Linked DNA regions of Drosophila melanogaster. The protein of the gene in region 4 interacts with the protein of the main gene of each other region in a pairwise test. Each region holds a gene or a part of one and is shown on either strand. Other genes may lie near its edges.

Evidence for each region.
Region 1: the proteins of CG34238 (region 4) and CG33169 interact in a two-hybrid assay, tested with the Drosophila melanogaster proteins (one large-scale study listed by BioGRID).
Region 2: the proteins of CG34238 (region 4) and CG40198 interact in a two-hybrid assay, tested with the Drosophila melanogaster proteins (one large-scale study listed by BioGRID).
Region 3: the proteins of CG34238 (region 4) and CG15012 interact in a two-hybrid assay, tested with the Drosophila melanogaster proteins (one large-scale study listed by BioGRID).

The regions. Positions count from the first base shown.
Region 1 is NT_037436.4:22,861,966-22,865,946, reverse strand, and holds CG33169 (uncharacterized protein), read right to left. Parts: upstream 2,084-3,981; 5' UTR 1,965-2,083; coding exon 1,788-1,964; 3' UTR 1,451-1,787; downstream 1-1,450. Other genes in the region: CG33170 (uncharacterized protein), read right to left, coding at 1-69, 123-176, 251-406.
Region 2 is NT_033777.3:4,159,635-4,164,921, reverse strand, and holds CG40198 (uncharacterized protein), read left to right. Parts: upstream 1-2,686; 5' UTR 2,687-2,714; coding exon 2,715-2,814; intron 2,815-2,873; coding exon 2,874-3,328; 3' UTR 3,329-4,312; downstream 4,313-5,287.
Region 3 is NT_037436.4:4,289,887-4,294,234, forward strand, and holds CG15012 (uncharacterized protein), read right to left. Parts: upstream 2,361-4,348; 5' UTR 2,268-2,360; coding exon 2,184-2,267; intron 2,124-2,183; coding exon 1,989-2,123; intron 1,931-1,988; coding exon 1,801-1,930; intron 1,738-1,800; coding exon 1,628-1,737; 3' UTR 1,322-1,627; downstream 1-1,321. Other genes in the region: Hexo1 (hexosaminidase 1), read left to right, coding at 75-1,164, 1,227-1,293; Fdx2 (ferredoxin 2), read left to right, coding at 2,738-2,856, 2,945-3,284.
Region 4 is NT_037436.4:10,624,346-10,628,723, forward strand, and holds CG34238 (uncharacterized protein), read left to right. Parts: upstream 1-2,153; 5' UTR 2,154-2,222; coding exon 2,223-2,333; intron 2,334-2,400; coding exon 2,401-2,484; intron 2,485-2,549; coding exon 2,550-2,697; intron 2,698-2,752; coding exon 2,753-3,030; 3' UTR 3,031-3,094; downstream 3,095-4,378. Other genes in the region: CG43127 (uncharacterized protein), read right to left, coding at 461-594, 656-806, 872-990, 1,050-1,218; CG14151 (uncharacterized protein), read right to left, coding at 3,396-3,640, 3,703-3,934, 3,995-4,108.

The DNA.
Region 1 (3,981 bases), about 12 Mb from region 4:
ATCCATTAGTTCTTTGAGTTTCTCGTTGAAACGCTGCATCAACTTCTGGGGATCATCCACTCGGGGGACCTAAAAAAGCCACTGTATTAGGAGCAAGAACAAATGTGGGTTAGGTGGCTTACCTCATAGTTCTGTGAGACATAGATTCCCGTATACACCCCGGCGCCAAAAGTTAACTGGAATGGAGAAAGGAGGATTATTAGAGTGGGTTGTGAAAATCTTCCTGAAGATGTCTATTTCGCATGCTGACCGTCGAGAAACATATTACTCGCTTGAAAGTCCAAAAGCGTTTTTTGGGACAGCACGGCAATGGCTGGCGAACTTCCGGTGGGCAAGTTTTCGCAGAGCGACTCTGCCCGCCAGTTTTGAGCCTCAAAACCTGCGCCCCAAGTCCAAGCAGTTTCATTTTAACTTCCAGTCTATATAAACGATCAATTTGGTGAGGCCTGTGTTGTTTTTCAAAGAGTCCGAATCTGTTTACTCATGGCTTGAGCGGTCATGGTCGACATAATTTCCAACGACTAGGTGATTATTTTATTTTTGTGGATATTTGAATTTGTGAGGCCTTATATAACGTTGAACCAAAAGTCACTTATGTATGTATTCAAACAGCGCACACTGGGAAGTAAACTCAAATTGAACCAATTTTGGAATCTATTTAACTGGTGTTTTGGCGCACTTTCTACCGTTTTACCAATCCACTCTTGTTTTATCCGAGCAAGAATATTTTGAATTTTGCTTAAACTTTTAATACTATTTTTTTATTTGTTGAAGTTAGATATTGGGAAGGTATTTTCAAATGTATTACATTTTGTCATTTATATTAATCATTAATATTTAATCAAATAATTGGTTTTGATTTTGAACCCCTAGACAACACATTTCACCACTGTGCAGGGGCGCGTCATCGCCGCGAAAAGCAACACAACCACAAAAACCACAGAAAAGTTGTATCTCGTATCTGATATGATTTCAGGTGTGAATCATAAACTTAAAAACATCAGGAAACCGGAAAACTTACCAGAAACTTGAGCATAGTGGAATAGTTAAAGGAGCCTTTGTCACCCGCAGCCGCCAGCGTGAGAGTCTTAGCAAAAGTGAGAGAATGTGAAAAAGAAACGTCAAACGACGCTGCTTCGGCGCTTCGTCTGCAGCTGCTCGGAATCTGAAAACAGCTGACTGGCCCACTGCGATTTGTGTTTGTATGGTTAGGTAATCGTATTTGGCTGACTCTGATAACTATGGAGTTAAGTTACTGCCTTTCGAGCACTGAACTTTTACTTCAATTTATGTACATGCATATGCATATGTATTAACAATTATTAGTTTGCGGTCACCGACGACGAGCTCCTCGGTGGACGGGCGTAAGTGAAACTGAAACAAGGGCAATCGCAATTAAAAACTGAACGCAAAACGGCCAAAAATAAAACATGTTGGTGGATGCCGCCTTCTCTAATATACATATGCACATATTTACATATTGAAGTGCCTCTGCTACGGTTTTTACCGTTTCCTAGTGCCCTTTTTTAATCAACCGCCAAAGCGCTAGACGGTTTTCAACACTACCACCAACGACCGTAATTCGGATACATTTTGTCCCCAAATCTCAAATTCCCAGGAACTGCACTTGAACAGCAGGGTGTTGTTCGTGTCATGGAAAATCCACTTTATGTAAAACATGCTTTTTGGATGGACGAACTGTGATTTAATTGTACTATTAAGGCTATATGTCTTTACAACGATTCAATTGCACTGACCACGACTATAAACTACATTTTATGACTACATTAGGCCAAGACCGCGGGGCGGGTCTTCAAGTAGACGAACAGCACCAGAAAGACCGCCAAAACGCCGAGCGCCGGCAGCACCACGGTGCGGATCTTCGCCTGGGTCTCCAGGTTGTCCAGCTTGCGCTCCTTCTTCTGTTTGCGCGTCTCCTTCACCTTTCCCTTCAGCTGGCGCATCTTTATCACTGATAGTTTTTGCGATAGTTCCTTTAATCTGGTGACGTGTAACACTCGTCGGAATGTGTGTGCGTGGAGCAACAAAACAGAGAGCTGGCCTTCTTTCGTTCAACAAGTTGTTTCTGGGCCAAAGAAGAAGAAGAAACGTTCGACTGGGCTGGCTAAAAGCAGGCAGCTTTTGACTGTCGACAGTGCTGCTTATTTCATGCAGTTTCTGGTCGGGTTACTCTGATGACACGTCCGGCCGACTAGTGTTGAACAATGTCTCTGGGACGGAAGCGCGCGTTTAAAAAAGTCTTTATAATTAAATAACGCATTTCATAAGTTAGAAAGCCATCAATTAACCTGGGGCTGTATTTGCCTCCATCTGAACATAAAAATGTCGTAGCAAGTTGTACAAAATTCACTTGCCAGTCAATAGTGAATACTTTATTTACCCAAACAAAATATAAAATAAATATAGTTTAAAAGAAAATAAAGCCGACTGAATAAATTTTTGACTGCAGGCGAAAGTCAAAAACGTATATGCATATATGTGAGTATAGACGTTGTCCAAAGATAACGAAACAACGATACATTACAATAAATATTACAAAATTCTTGCAACGAATAAAATCTCACTCGAATTTAGTCAGATTAAAAGTAAATCGTAGTCAAAATATTTGAATGTTTTTCTATCTGCTTCAGAGGTATTTTTTTATACCAAGCATCGAAAATTCGAAAGAGTACCTTTTACTAGTAATTGAAAGTTTTCTATTATTCAAAAATGATATTTATACATTATTATAGCTATTGGTTTTGGGTTGGTTTTTGTCAATGCTGCACAGCTTCTGTTCTTCCTCAGGCGGTACTAAACGGAGGCGGAGAGAACCGCGTTTCAATTTTGCTTTGTATTGACCGCTGGCATGGCGCTGCGGAAGAATCTAACCCATATTTTTCTTTAACTGGCCTGCCGCCCCTTTAAGCCCTTTAACTGCACCCGAGGCCGTCGAAACAAGATACGCCAGCAACTGTTGCACCTTCACCTCTGAATGCGATTTCGAAAATGTTTGAGCAGTTCGCAATACTCCCAGGGGTCGGGTCTATGCCACGCAGTCACTGCTTGGGCTTCTGCCGCGAGTGCTGGACACTATGGATATTGTGGACACCGGACGTGCTGGATAAGCTGGCCGCTGCACACTTGATGAAGCAATAACAATGCAGACCGCTGGCCGGCAACCGTGGCCGAGTGGCCAATCAGTCGGGACGCACTGCCAAGTTTGTGCATTGGTAATGAAGCCTGGCGAGCCAACGCACATTTCGGCATCTAATTTTGCCCATTACCATAAACGGCAACCCGATCAGTTTGGACACGGATTATTGGCAACTATTTAGCCGGCCCCTAAAGGCCTAGACCTGCCAGCCCGGGCGAGTCCTCACGTTACATACAGATTGGCCTCAATGCGCACGCGGCTGTCCGAAAGTCGTGTTCCCGTCCAGGTCCAATCTTAGTTTCCTGGTTCTGGCCAGCGCTTACACGACCATCATACACGGCCTGTTCGTTAGCTCGCTGGCCAGCTATGTGTGATGGCCAGTCCGCTGATTGGCCAGGCCGCCGTCCGTCAGCCCGGTCCACCTGTCCGTCCTTGGGGCCGGGAGACCAACTCTTAGCTAAACCCCTTGTTTTGATTGCCAACTCGTAAAATGATGGATTACCGAGTTGGGATTTATTTCTTGTTACGGTCATAATAGATTATCGTTGCTCACTCATTGTCAGAGCTGCCCCCCCCCCCCCCCCCGAGCCACCTCTATCTAAACGGCAAGCAGCCAGAATTGCTGTCTTCGGAGGATTTGGCGTTTTGATGGAGCATGGCTTCGTCGAATGGCCTCCGATCGCACTATTCGAATGATCAAACGAACAATTAAACGCAAGTACCACAGGCAACTTAGAAGTAATTTTAGTGGTAGCACTTCTTAATTTACAAACAAGCTAGGATCGAAGTTAAAATGTAATACGCAATGCACTTCTAACCATCTG
Region 2 (5,287 bases), on a different chromosome or scaffold from region 4:
ACAAGGGTTCGACGCACGTCATTGTCTTGTCTCTACGCCTCCTCCGGTCTACGGAAATCGTGCACATACATATGCCGGTGTCGTGTTTTGAGCTTGTCTACATATTGTCACTTACGCACGTGTGGGGTGGTATAGTCAAGAAAATTTGTTTTAAACAAGAAAGTCGGCAGCTAAGTATCATCATGAGTAGCAAAAAATATTTCATTACAGCAATATTTGCTTTGCTCTTTTGTGCATATACATAAATAAGTTAAAAGTCTATTATCAGGAACCAACCCCGTTACACATCGTGGCGTGCCGAAATTTTTTTTTTTTGCAAATCGATAGAAATTTTTTAATACCACACAATTTACAATTGTGAAAAAATCAACACGATTTTCAAAGGTGTGAGCGTGGCAGAGCTGCGTCTTTTTTTTTATTTTTAAAATCTGTATGCTGAATCTCAACCTTCTAGCTTTTATAGTTTCTGAGATCTCGACGTTGATACGGACAGACGGTCATGGGCAGATCGACTCGAGTATTGATTCTGATCAAGAATATATACACTTTATATAGTCGATAACGCTTCATTCTGCCTGTTACATACATTTCAACGAATTTAGTATAAAAAAAGACACTATGGGCTGAATCAAAGACATTAGAATAATTATTCTAGTGTCTTTTGCTGAATGGTACTGAAAGGATAAAGATATTTAGTTTGTGTTTTTATATTGGGTATCTTATATAATACCAAAAATTATATATTTTTATAGGTTTTTTTTGGTAACTCCTAAACGGAGAAAGGCTGTTTTTGTGCATTGACTTACACTTGACCAAAGACACTAGAATAAACTAGAATTCTAGTGTCTTTGACTTGACTATATCTTTAAGAACCCAGAAATTGTGTGCGTGGCCCTTTACATTTAATGAACAAATTTTCGTATAGGGGTTTCTTTAATTTCGTATGCTTTTTCTAGGCCAAGCAAAAAACAACTGAATTCATGATAGTAATTGCATATTAAGTTATTTTACTATTTATTTTATTTTTTATTTATTTTTTAATGATAACCATAAAAATAATAAAAATTAATGAAACAAATCAGCTAGAGCTATGTTTAACTCGCTTTTAGCTGAAATTAATCTTCTTTTGTCTGCCATTTGGATCCTAAAGTGCGAAAAAGTGAACTTTAAGAATGAACATTCGAATGAAGAAGGATTACATTATCTACAACGTAGTATAGGTATTATGTTGAAACTAGGTAAAACTCATGTTTAAATCTCAAGTTAAAAATAAATTGGTTTAGCTCATACACCTAACAGCGCTACGGGACTTTTTTGAAATACGCAACACTAAAAACTAATCCTATACTAACATAATGATGTAATCAAAACATAGGTAAAACGAGACACTTGATTAAAGTGTAGACAGTAACTATATATGACCGGAATTAAAAATAAAAATAATTGATTGAAATAAAGCATATTTTTATGAGATAAAATAACGGAAGCACGAACATTTCCTTAAACTTATAGGCCCATATATTGGGACGAATAAAAGTAAAACCAAAATTATTCTACACGTAAGTACTTTACCGGAACTGGCAACACACAGCAGTTAGCAAAGATATTTTGGAATTTTTTTTAATCCACTTTTAGTTCAAAAACTTTCTTTTCAAGCCTGTGGATCGATGTTTAAGAAAATTGATTACCAATATGCCTCCATGTTGGTCATGATAGGCTAAGAGAAATTAAAAGGTAAGCATACAGATTCCAAAAACATATAAGCAGCAGAAGTTTGCTGACCCACCTACTCTAACGAAGAATATAATGAGAAAAAAATGGGCGGTTTGTGGGTGTTAGAGTGTGCGTGGTAAAAAGTTTTTTTTAGCAAGTCGTTAGAAATTTGGAAGACTAATATGAAATATGAAAAAATATAAAAATATTTTTCAAATGTGTGGGCGTGACAGTTCTGGTCGGTTTACGGGAGTGGCAATATGGGTCAACAAACTTGTGATACGTCTATGTTATTAGAATCAGTATTCTTATTCTTAACATTATAGCTTTTAATGTTCCTGAGATCTCGAGGTGGATACGGACGGAGGAACAGACAGACGGACAGGGCCAGATCAGAAATATATAGACTTTATATGGTCTACATCTATTACATACTTTCAATGAATATAATAAATTTGTTTTCGTTTTGTTGTTTGCTTGCCAATTTCTATGGGAATACACTTTGGTCACGACCCTCCTTACACCTACAAAACGGTCAAAACGGCTACGCACTCACTTTTTAAAACAATATCGATTGATATCCCTGAAAAATGATGAAATTTCGGGTTCGCATTTCGACTAGCTGAGTAACTGAAATGAAAAAATAACATGAAAACATGAACAAAATTGAAAATTTAGTTTTATGATTTACGTTCGTTTTAAAACCAAATATATCTGTTTGATTGTTGTTTAGATAAAAAGCTAAACGCATTAGTAATAATTTATAGCTCCTCGTTTACTTATCTAATACTCACCAAGTTATAACAGCGGTGGCTTCATCTAGGGGCACAAGTGTGTATGCTAACCACTTGAGGTCTAGCATCAAGCAAAGTGCTTGTCGTACAACCCTCTTTCAGCTTGAGCCATCAAAAGGCAACAATAACAACGGAGACTTTTTCGAAGAACGCTATAAAAGCGAACGCGGGCTATCCACTTCTAGTCATAAAGTAGTCGCCAACAGCATGTTGAAAACTATATCGATTGGTGTTCTTATCGCCCTCAGTGGGGCCATCATTGCAGAAGGAAAACCTGTCCTTATTAAGGTTTTCGCTCCCAGCGGTGGTATATTATTTGCTGTTTGGGGTAAATTACAAACTTTAGTGTTACTTCTTTCTCCACAGGCTACTCCAGTGCCAGTTACCAAAATACAGTGGGAGCATCGCCTTTCACCAGTCAGCTTATCTCTGGTCTTATCTCATCAAAAATTCAACTGTTGAACAGCGTGCTACAGACCAAGTCTTCTTCCGGGGGGTTCCGTATTGGTTTCAATAAGTCTGTCAATTTATTTGGCCCCACAAGCGCCACGAGCACCACCGAAAGGCCTGTGACACACCATACCACCGAGGTAAACACAGACTTTACTCCGGATGAATCTAGTAGGACTACTCAACTTTTTTACTCGACAACAACAGAAAGTTTTGTCGAAACGCCGATCCCCACAATACATCCCGAGCCACCAGCCACTACCACTTCAGTGATCCCAATAGAGAGCACCACATCCGTAACACAACCACCCATCTTGACGACACCAAAACCTGGATACTCCTATCGCACCCCCATTTCCCCCACCAATTAGTTCGGTGAAAATCTATTTTTTGTCAACTCAAATAACGCAGCCCCAGCAATGTTCGCAAATGAGTAAATTTCTATAATTAAGTGACTAATTTGCGATGAATTGGGAGAACTGTTTCTTAAGTTAATCCAGGTATAGATAAAGCGGAAGCTATTCAAGGCTTGTCGCACATTGTTCATTTTCACATCAAAGAGCTCTGTGCGATTGTTGTCTGACAAGTCATGGGGATTATTAGCATAGAAACTGGTTTTTAGAGAATTATGTGGGCTACAAGGGAAGTGTTAAATGTTTCATTAACCACTTTTCAAGTTTTACAGGCAGATTCTAGCGCCCGTTCCAAGTCGCATCTGCAAATGACTTGGTTCAAGGCAAACGAATTTCTTTGTCTGGGGCATAACAATCAATTCCGCAGATCTGTATGTTATTAAATATTTTACAGTGTTTGGCAAGTTAGTATCTATCATCGAATTACTTATTTACATTTCAACTAATATATAAATGGTTTAAATTTAATATATCAGCAGTATATCTGCTATTAATTATAAAGAAGAGAGAATGTTATAGTAGTGTGAATGCGAGGGGAAATATCATAATTTTTCTGGGATATGGGTGGATATTGGGGAATGAAAAGAAAAAAAAGGTTAATTGGGCGTGGCCGGTTCGGCGGCTTTAGGGCGTTTATATGGGCGTGGCAAAAAGATTCTTGCAAATCGATTAAAATTTACAGGACTAAAAAAATTATGAAAAAATATTAAGCAATTTTTCAAAAGTGTGGACGTGACCCTTTTGGATGTTTTTTAGGTGAAAGGCGTGGCCAGTGTTTTTGGTAAACAGATAAAAATTGTCAAGGCAAATAATAAAACGAAGAAAATCTAAACATTTTTCAAAAGTGTGGGCGTGACAACTTTCTGCGCCTTTGGGGCGTTAGAGTGGTCGTGGCAATCAGTTATGTAGAAATTTACAGGACTAATAAAATTATGAAAAAATACCCATAATCTTTTCAAAAAAGTGATCGTGGCAGTTTTGTTCGGCTTGTGGGCGTTAGAGTGGGCGTGGCAACAATGCTCTGCGTCTATGTCTCTAGAACCTGTATGAATCTCAACCTTCTAGCATTTATAGTTCCTCATATCTCGACGTTCATACGGACAAACAGACAGGGCTAGATCGACTCGCTTTTGATCCTGATCAGAAAACTCTTGTTTTTGCCTGTTTCATAATTTTCAAGGAATCTAGTATACCCTTTTACTCTACGAGTATGAAAAAGAGAATGAAAAGAGAAATGAACAACAAAACGCGAAAAACAAGGACTGTTTAATTTTAAAGAAAATCACATAAATCTCTTTAAAGCTAAATATATTTATTTATCATCCCGGCTTCGCTTTCAAATATAATTCTGGTACACTGGCTGAACACAACAGACAAAATATTGAACAAAAGCAAGAATAACGTTACAGTCATAATAACGGTATTGCAATTAAAAATACCCACTCAAAATCTTTAGAAAAGTAACGAAAAATCTCCCTTTTAATATTTAACATTTTACCCAATAACTCGAAGAGGATGAAGTTGGAATATTTAGTTCAAAACTTCTAAAGCACAACAACCTTGGTATAAAACCGCTACTAACGAAATATTTCTAATGTCTCACATTTCTACAACCATTTATAATTAAAAACGAAACAACAACTTGTACTTCCCAGAATAGTCGGAAACCATTTTATATTTAATACATTAAATCTTATATACTCATAACGTGGAATATAACTGAAGAAAAATTTAATACAAATTGTGAAAATCAAGACATTTTAATTGACAATAACAAAATTATAAAAGTATTCAGTTGTACGTACAGCAAAGTTAAAAGACATTTCAAAATGAAATAATATTTAACAATACCTAATATTTGCCAAGCGCAATATAACAAAAGCTTAAGTAAAAGAAATGATTAAGTTAACATATGCA
Region 3 (4,348 bases), 6.3 Mb from region 4:
CAATGGTTCAGGAAAGAGGCAGGGGAGGGTTATGTTTTCCGTTGACTCTATGAGTATCCTTTTTTCCTCCTTAGAGGGCATGGCCTTGGTCAAACTGAACACCTTCCACTGGCACATCACGGACTCGCACAGCTTCCCATTGGAGGTGAAGAAGCGTCCGGAGCTGCACAAGCTGGGAGCCTATTCCCAACGGCAGGTGTACACCCGTCGGGACGTGGCCGAGGTTGTGGAGTACGGCCGCGTGCGAGGCATCCGTGTTATGCCAGAGTTCGATGCCCCTGCCCATGTGGGTGAGGGCTGGCAGCACAAGAACATGACCGCCTGCTTCAATGCCCAGCCATGGAAGTCGTTCTGCGTTGAGCCACCGTGTGGCCAACTCGATCCCACTGTGAACGAAATGTACGATGTGCTGGAGGACATTTACGGCACCATGTTCGATCAGTTCAACCCGGATATCTTCCACATGGGCGGCGATGAAGTGTCAACCAGCTGCTGGAACAGCAGCCAGCCCATCCAGCAGTGGATGAAGAAACAGGGTTGGGGCCTGGAGACCGCCGACTTTATGCGCTTGTGGGGACACTTCCAGACGGAGGCTCTTGGTCGCGTGGACAAGGTGGCCAATGGTACGCACACGCCCATCATTCTGTGGACTAGTGGACTCACTGAGGAGCCCTTCATTGACGAGTATCTGAACCCAGAGCGTTACATCATTCAGATCTGGACCACTGGTGTAGATCCGAAGGTAAAGAAGATTCTGGAGCGGGGCTACAAGATCATTGTGTCCAACTACGATGCCCTGTACTTGGATTGCGGCGGAGCTGGCTGGGTGACCGATGGAAACAACTGGTGCTCCCCCTACATTGGCTGGCAGAAGGTGTACGACAATAGTTTGAAATCCATTGCCGGCGACTACGAGCATCATGTATTGGGCGCGGAGGGAGCCATTTGGTCAGAGCAGATCGACGAGCACACACTGGACAACCGCTTCTGGCCCAGGGCCAGTGCCCTGGCCGAACGACTTTGGTCAAATCCTGCCGAAGGTTGGCGCCAGGCGGAGTCACGTCTGCTGCTCCACCGCCAGCGACTGGTGGACAATGGTCTGGGCGCAGAGGCCATGCAGCCGCAGTGGTGCCTGCAAAACGAGCACGAGTGTCCCATTGACGCGTACGATGCACAAGTTTGACCAGCTATTAAACCATTTCTCTTAACGGTCGCTATCCTTGTAGATGTAGTCGGGGCAGCGGGCGGCTTGGGTTGATCGTCCTGTTGCTTCTCACAACGCTCTCTGCCTGAAAATAAAGTACAGCTCAAAGGTGGCCTTACGCAAGTGACTTGTCGTTTATTTTGTTAAATATAAATGAGATTATTGGCCCTGCTCTGCGCCCTTTTCCGATTCAAAGCGGCAGAATGTCGGAAATAGTGAGGGAAATCCGTACAGACTCGACGATTTTTTCGAATATGAACAGTAGCAGAGTTGGACATTTTACGCTTCAATGTGTGGGGTGAGGATTTGCGAGTGATGGTGTCCTCGGCCTCAAGCATAAACTCCTTGGACTCCTGATTATGTACGTAATGAGTCTAGATACTAAAAGCTGCGTTCCCTTGTGCAATAATTTGAATGGAAGCTTTACTCATTCCACTCTTCCTCGTTGCGTCCAAACTTGTAGACCAAACTGGCGAACAGGATGAAGACGTTTTGCATCAGCAGAGCCACGCCAAACCAGCCATCCTTCTTTTCTGAAAAACGATAAGTGGGTGCAATTCAGCTAAGGAATCCTTAAATATCTGTTTATTTCTCACCATTGTTGATGAAGTCGTCGATCATCACCCAGATGGCGGCAATGATGGAGGCAAAACCCATTAGGAAGCCCACAAGCAGCCAGATCTTCGCTATCCTGGCGCCGGACTCCGATGAGTTCTCATCAGAAATCTGCGCACAAACAAAAGAAGTGAGTCACTTGTTAAGCCCAATGATAAGTGTGTGTTACATGTTCTCCCTTCACTGCGTTCACCATGCAGAAGCTGATGGTCCCGAAGATGCCGATGAAGACGTGTCCTGTGGTAATCTGGTGCTTGCCGTCGATGGACATGGCATCGATTAGAACCCACCATCCTGCGAAAAACTAAGGAGAAAAAGTTGCACTGTCAGGCGGGCGGCTCTTTGTTTGCGGGTGTTAGCCTACCAGAAGTCCGGCTATTATGGAGGTGTTCCTGTTCCTGGACGCATCCCCCGTGAAATGCAACGCAATATTGTCCAACACGCCCATTGTTTAGGTTTTAAAACGTAATTAAATTTATTCCACTCTTAAATCTTCTTGTTTTGACGCACAGGGTTGTCTGTCTGCAGGTGAATACAGGGTTTCTTCACTCGCTGTAGCAACCCTGTTTCAGTATTTAGTGTGTTCACACCTGAACTGCAGCAGTAACATATACTTTTTGTGTAACACAAATTAACTCCGTTATAAAAAGAAAGTTGCTGTTAATTAAATATTTTGTGCAATAATTTGTGCAAACATTTAAATGTTTAACTTTAAAATTACTGCTTATGCAGTTTGTTGTTGTTTTTTAGTACGTTAAAGGCACGACGTCTTTTTCAGAAAGTCCAATACGGTCACACACAACTTCACGTTTAACAAAATTTAATTGATTTCCTTATTATTTAACAACCGATCGCAGCGACACGAGTGGGTGCGTGTTGTCAGTTATAGTAAGAGATTGCAAAGGAATCCTAACCAGAATGCTAGTCATAAACTCATGCAGAGCTGCCTCCAGATTGGCGCTACGCAGCCTCAATTTGCGATCGCCGATCGCAACGCGTACTTTCTCGACGGGATTGGCCCTGAAAACGAAAGATGTGTGAGTATCTTCTCCACCCCACGAGCACTACAATGGTAGCTCCACACCGCCAGAGCAGCGTAAACATTGACCAATCTCGCTATTGCAGTGTTAACATAACCTTCGTGCGTGCCAATGGGGACAAGATTAAGACGTCCGGAAAAGTGGGTGACTCCCTGCTGGACGTGGTGGTCAACAACAATGTGGATCTGGATGGTTTCGGGGCCTGTGAGGGCACGCTGACCTGCTCCACCTGCCACCTGATCTTCAAGACCAGCGATTTCGAGAAACTGCCCGACAAACCCGGTGATGAGGAGCTGGACATGCTGGATTTGGCGTACGAACTGACGGACACCTCGCGGCTGGGCTGCCAGATCACCCTGTCCAAGGATATGGAGGGCCTGGAGGTACATGTGCCCTCCACCATCAATGACGCACGTGCCGCGTAGATAGACACCACCACTGTTATCAATTGTTACAAATTTGAGTGCTAATTCGCTTTAGTTCAACCTAGATGTAGTCAATATTTTTGAACGAAATCGTATGTATTGTCCCAGGGACACAAACCTCAGGCGGCTATAATGGATGCGCGCATTAATCCGATTCCAGTTGCGGATTAGCGTCCGCTGTTGTTTTTAAAGTGTTTAAGCTCAAAGGGATTAGATCAATATGTAAATAAGTGTGTTGCAATAAATTTACATGTATTTTCGTACTTCTCTTGGTTTTATTGAAACTGTGGAGGAAAGCATCCAGCGTAGATATCATTTTTAACCAATAATTCATTTGCCTTTTTAATTCTATTGGCAAAACTAGCCGATTTTAAATCGGTCATTCTTGTTTTTTAAATATCTCAGCTAAAAAGTGTTTTTCTGCGTGTATTCATGATCTCGAAGTTGTGCTCGGCAAATAAACAGGCACACGCAAAGATTTTCCTCGGCATCATAGTTCTAATAAAAGTGTGTAGTATACTTTTGAACACAGGTTTATGATCATTAGTTAGCAAATTCAAGATGATCGTATTTTATATTCCTATTTGCCTCGCTTGTATGACAATGCGAACCATATTATTCTTTATTCTATTCATTCGTTTTGCCAAACTTGTTTTGTTTATACCAAAACTTCCAGTCACGGCCAACACAAGGGCTGTTATCAAAGCCCCCCACACAAACATTTCATCACACTGATAAAGTTTGCATTAGCTTTGTTTGCGTTTCCTTATCAGTCGTTCCCAAGCTCCGATAATCAGAGGTACTATTAGAACGCATTAAAACACTTGTCGCTTAATAAAAGTAAACTTTTTATTATTTCGCAGCTATCAAATAAAGTAATAAATAAATAATTTAATATATACATTTGCTATATTAACTTATTGTAAACGATTTTCTGCCTTTCCATGTTTGCCGCTTCATTACTTCGTTTGTGTTTATTTTCTCGATATTATTAACTTGCATATTGTAACATTCGAGGCTAATCTGTTCGTTCAGATGGCCTCAAATCCCGCGTAGGTATAACT
Region 4 (4,378 bases):
GTGACAAGTTGACAATCCACGCACTTTGTTCCAAAGCCCGGACAAATGGAATTAGATGCCGAATTAGGACTAAAACAGCTTGAATTTGATTTCAATACGAGCAGCTGAGATCTGGAAAACTTAAAGCGGCGTAGGAGGAACGAGAGCAGACAAGACCGGAAGCGCAGAGCATGAAACGGAAATGAATCAATTTCCGTGCTGCAGACCATTAAAAACTACAAAAGCCCTCGAAAGAAGCAGATGAAGTACAGGAAAACGAGAAACAAGAGTCGGCACAACAGATACAAAATATGGTTTTCTGTCTGGCGCCGTATGAACGATGACCTATGACCCGGTCAAGACGCATCTGTTGTATAGAAAACTGTAATTAAATCATGTCAATATGGAGATATTAATATAGACGTAATATTTTTGAAACTTTTAAATGAAATTTATGAATATAACACAAACATATTTGAATTTATCTCTTCTGATCTGAAATCATCATAAAATGATATCTAGATTTTTCTGCCACTTTGGTCTCTTCATTTTTCGTGGCATTGGACAAGTTCAAGAAGATGGTGTAGATAACATAGATGAAGCCAAACTCAATTGCTATCAAATAAAAGCCACAAAGATAATAAAGTTAGTAACTAATTTAAGGCAGAAAACGTACCCATGGTCAGCAGGGAGATCAAAATGTTGGTCAGTGCCTCAATAGCGTCGCCCACAAAAAGTTCGTAGACCCACCACAAAATGAGGAAGACATCGAAGACCAAACCACAGGCGCACCATATCAACCATAATGTCATAAGCTCCGGTTTTTGCTGAAAATACGAAGAGAATGAATGGAACGGAGTTGATGAGACTCAACGGGATACTTTTCACCCACAAATGAGATGCCAGCTATCATGAGCAGAGTGACCCCAATCCAAATATTCAGCATCAACAGGTAGCCCCAGAATATCCAAATGTTTTCGCTTTCACTCAGCTTTTTCCTTGTCAAGAGATCTCGAGTACATAAATTGGTTAGAACACTGCATTTGAGTACCTTTATTGAGTGCACTTACTGGGCAATGAATCTCTATGGCACTTCTCTTGTGCTTCAATCGATGCAACTTCTGATTTTTGTGCCAATCGACGACGTCGCATCATATAGAACATTATCATTTCGAAGAACAAAACTCCCGCAATGTCCATCCAGCCGATGGCCATTCCAAAAGCATTCAAAGCATTCATCACCTTCAACTTTTTCTTGTCCAATCACTATGGTTTTAGTTGATACTTAATGGTTTTTAAAAACATTTTATATGACAAATTTAGCAGTGTACCGAAAAATAAATAGGGTCTGAAATAAGATTGCTCAATAGGAAATGCGAACAAACTGGAGTTAAAGAAATACAAATAAAAATCTTAAGCTTGATAGATTTCATTTATTTAAGAACCTTTTTTTTACAATTTTCAAGCTTAAGTTTGATAAATACATTTGTTAAAGTGCCATAATTTATTTTAAAGAAACTGAGCCTCCATTACGGTTCCATCTCTACTCAAGTTTCCTGTTGCTTCTGTTGGAAAAACTTGAACTGGAAGTGAGATGTTTAAAAAGGCTTTGTCGCACCCCGGGGATCAAAATGTGCTCCCACTTTTTCGCCCAAGTTGCAAATGAGCGCGAAAAAAGTAAAATTATATTTGTCAACGGGGATTCCCCTCGTTCTTACTCACACTCACTACCACACACACGCTCACTCACACACAGGGTAAGAGCAGTGGCTATGTGTGTGTGTGTGTTTGCGTGAGCCGACGCCGCACGTATTTCATCAGCGTGGCATTATATGCATGGGTATATGCTTATATACTTACGTACACTATACGGTGGTATGTCTCATTTTTTCCCTGCATAAATAGATGCGACAACCATAGCAGCGGAACTTGGCTGTCATTTCCGTTTCCGTTTTGATACCGTGTGTGGAGTGTGATCGAACAACGTAGTAATTTGTTTAGCTGAGCTAAAAAAACATATTAAAATATACCCTAAATATGAAGAAAGATTTTAAGTAATTGTTAAATATGCTCTATCTATACATTTCAAAATTAATTATTTATAAATGTACTAGCAAATTTGAAGAAAACGGCTTAAAAATATACTTGTATTATCTATTTACACAATCATTAGTTATACACTCATTGAACTGATCATATGTTCCTATCTTCAACTGCCACAAATAATGTTTTCATTTTTCGATATGATCTCCAGCAAGAAATCGCTGTTGATATGGGCCTATGCTATAGGATGCTTTGATCTGATCAGCGCATTGCTTTTTTCCATGGTCAGTTTGAAGACAATTTGCGAACACGTAAGGCTACCCTTTAAATCTTTATATACAGTAGAAAATCTTCAGAAATCTTCTCACATTTTTCCAGCTAAGTTGGCTAACAATTTTTGCCGCTATTTTTGGCCTCTTTTGGATAACAATGATTGTGATGCTGCTGGTTGGCATTCATGGGGTATATTCGTATTTAAAAAGGTGGCTCACGGTGACAGTGTAATGGTATCCTTCGCTTAATTACAGCGCCATCCTAGTTGTGTTCGTGCCTGGATTATCTTCTCCTGCGTGGGAATCATGGTCGAGATGTGCCTGGTGTTGTATGCCGTTTTCAACGAGAGCTCCTTCCAAATGGGTCTGGTCAAAAATGGACTATTACTCATGGTGGGATTGAGTGAGTGCAATATTAGAAGTATCACCTTAAAATTAACTTTATATTTTTCTATCAGTTGTGGAGTGCATTTTTCTATACATCGTTCAACGGTTCTACGTGACTTTGGCCTTTTGCCAAGCCTGTCATAAGGCTATAGCCACAAAAATAGCACAACAGGAAGCTTGTATGGATTATGAAAGAGAACACAGTCACCAAAGGCATCATTTTAATTATGGCGAAACCAAAAGACCTATTCAAAACCAAAATAGCAGGGGAAAAATAGTTAAAAACTCTCCGTCACAACCAATGAAGATGGGTTTTTTCAGACCTTCAGACAGCAGCTCAACAACGTAAAATGAAGGGTTATATATATTTATTTTATAGCTAAAATATTAAAAGACAAGTTTGTAAAAATATTAAAAATATATTATTTATCTACAGGGCATGCAACTCTTCGAATTCGTTTAGCTGCATTTGTATCTCTAGATTTTTTCTTTACTCACTGCTGAGCAAATTATTTTAAAAGGATTTTGTGTTTAACATTGGCGTTCTTGTGTGTGTGTGTGTGAGTGGCTTGTGTAGGTGTGAGTGGTCCGCATCCTGCGTGTGATAAAAGTTAAAGAGCTTGTCTCAGACAAAAAGAAAAGTTCAAATCAATGCATTCAATTTCATGTTTATTTTAAAAATATAAAAATCAATACTTTAAACACTTAATACCTTCACTTTCGCATTTGTTTCTGAAGTTTTTTGAGAACGGCTTTATCTTTTTTCATACGCTCCTTGGCTTGTTTTTCCATCCGTTTCAGATCCTTGCGATCCAGTGGCTTTTCCTCTTCCTCAGCGTATTTCACATCACAGCCACTCCTTTCTCTATACTTCTCATCGGGAGGCGTTTCTGTTGCACTGTAATCAATCATATCCAGATAAAGTAGGTATATGATATAGACAAAAGTCATTTCCACGGCTAAAAGGAAATTCAATTATATATTCAGTAAATTAAATACGCTAATTATTATTTAGACCTACCCAGTCCTACGAAGGGCAGCACTGTGATTTTGACACCTTCCCAGTTCACAGATATGGCCAAGGTCAGGCCGTAGAGCAGTATAAATCCATCTAGAAGTATTCCCAAGCAGGTGAACACCAACCAGAATCGTACCAGTCCCAGTTTTCGCCTATAGATACCCGCCATCAAAACTATGATTATAACCATCCAGAAAATGGTGAAGATCAGTGCAACCAAGGCGGTCCAATGACCCTGCAAATACCAAAATTGAGCCACAATTTCCCTGAAAGGACTGTGGCCTAATTGTCTTACATGCCTGGCAAATACCACTCCTGAGATAATTGCGAATAGCAGGGCGGATATGAAGTCCAGCAAGGCGATGCAATAGGCACAGGGCACTAAATATCCATCAGAATTTGACCCCATCGCCCAGGCTAAGATTCATCACATCACTGGCAATGTTGTCTACTAAATCAAAGCTATAATGATGATAAGCACGTACTTGGCGATTGGAGAAGGGGGTTACTCGGGTCTTGGCGGCCTGTTAATCAAAGCCGTTTGATTGCCAACATTCATGGACACAGCACAGTGGTATTCAAGCGTGGGAATGTAGGGAGACTCAGTGGCCAAAAGTACAATACACTACAGAAGTTTTCAATATATGCCAAGTTCAATGTTCCTGCGAATTATATTTAG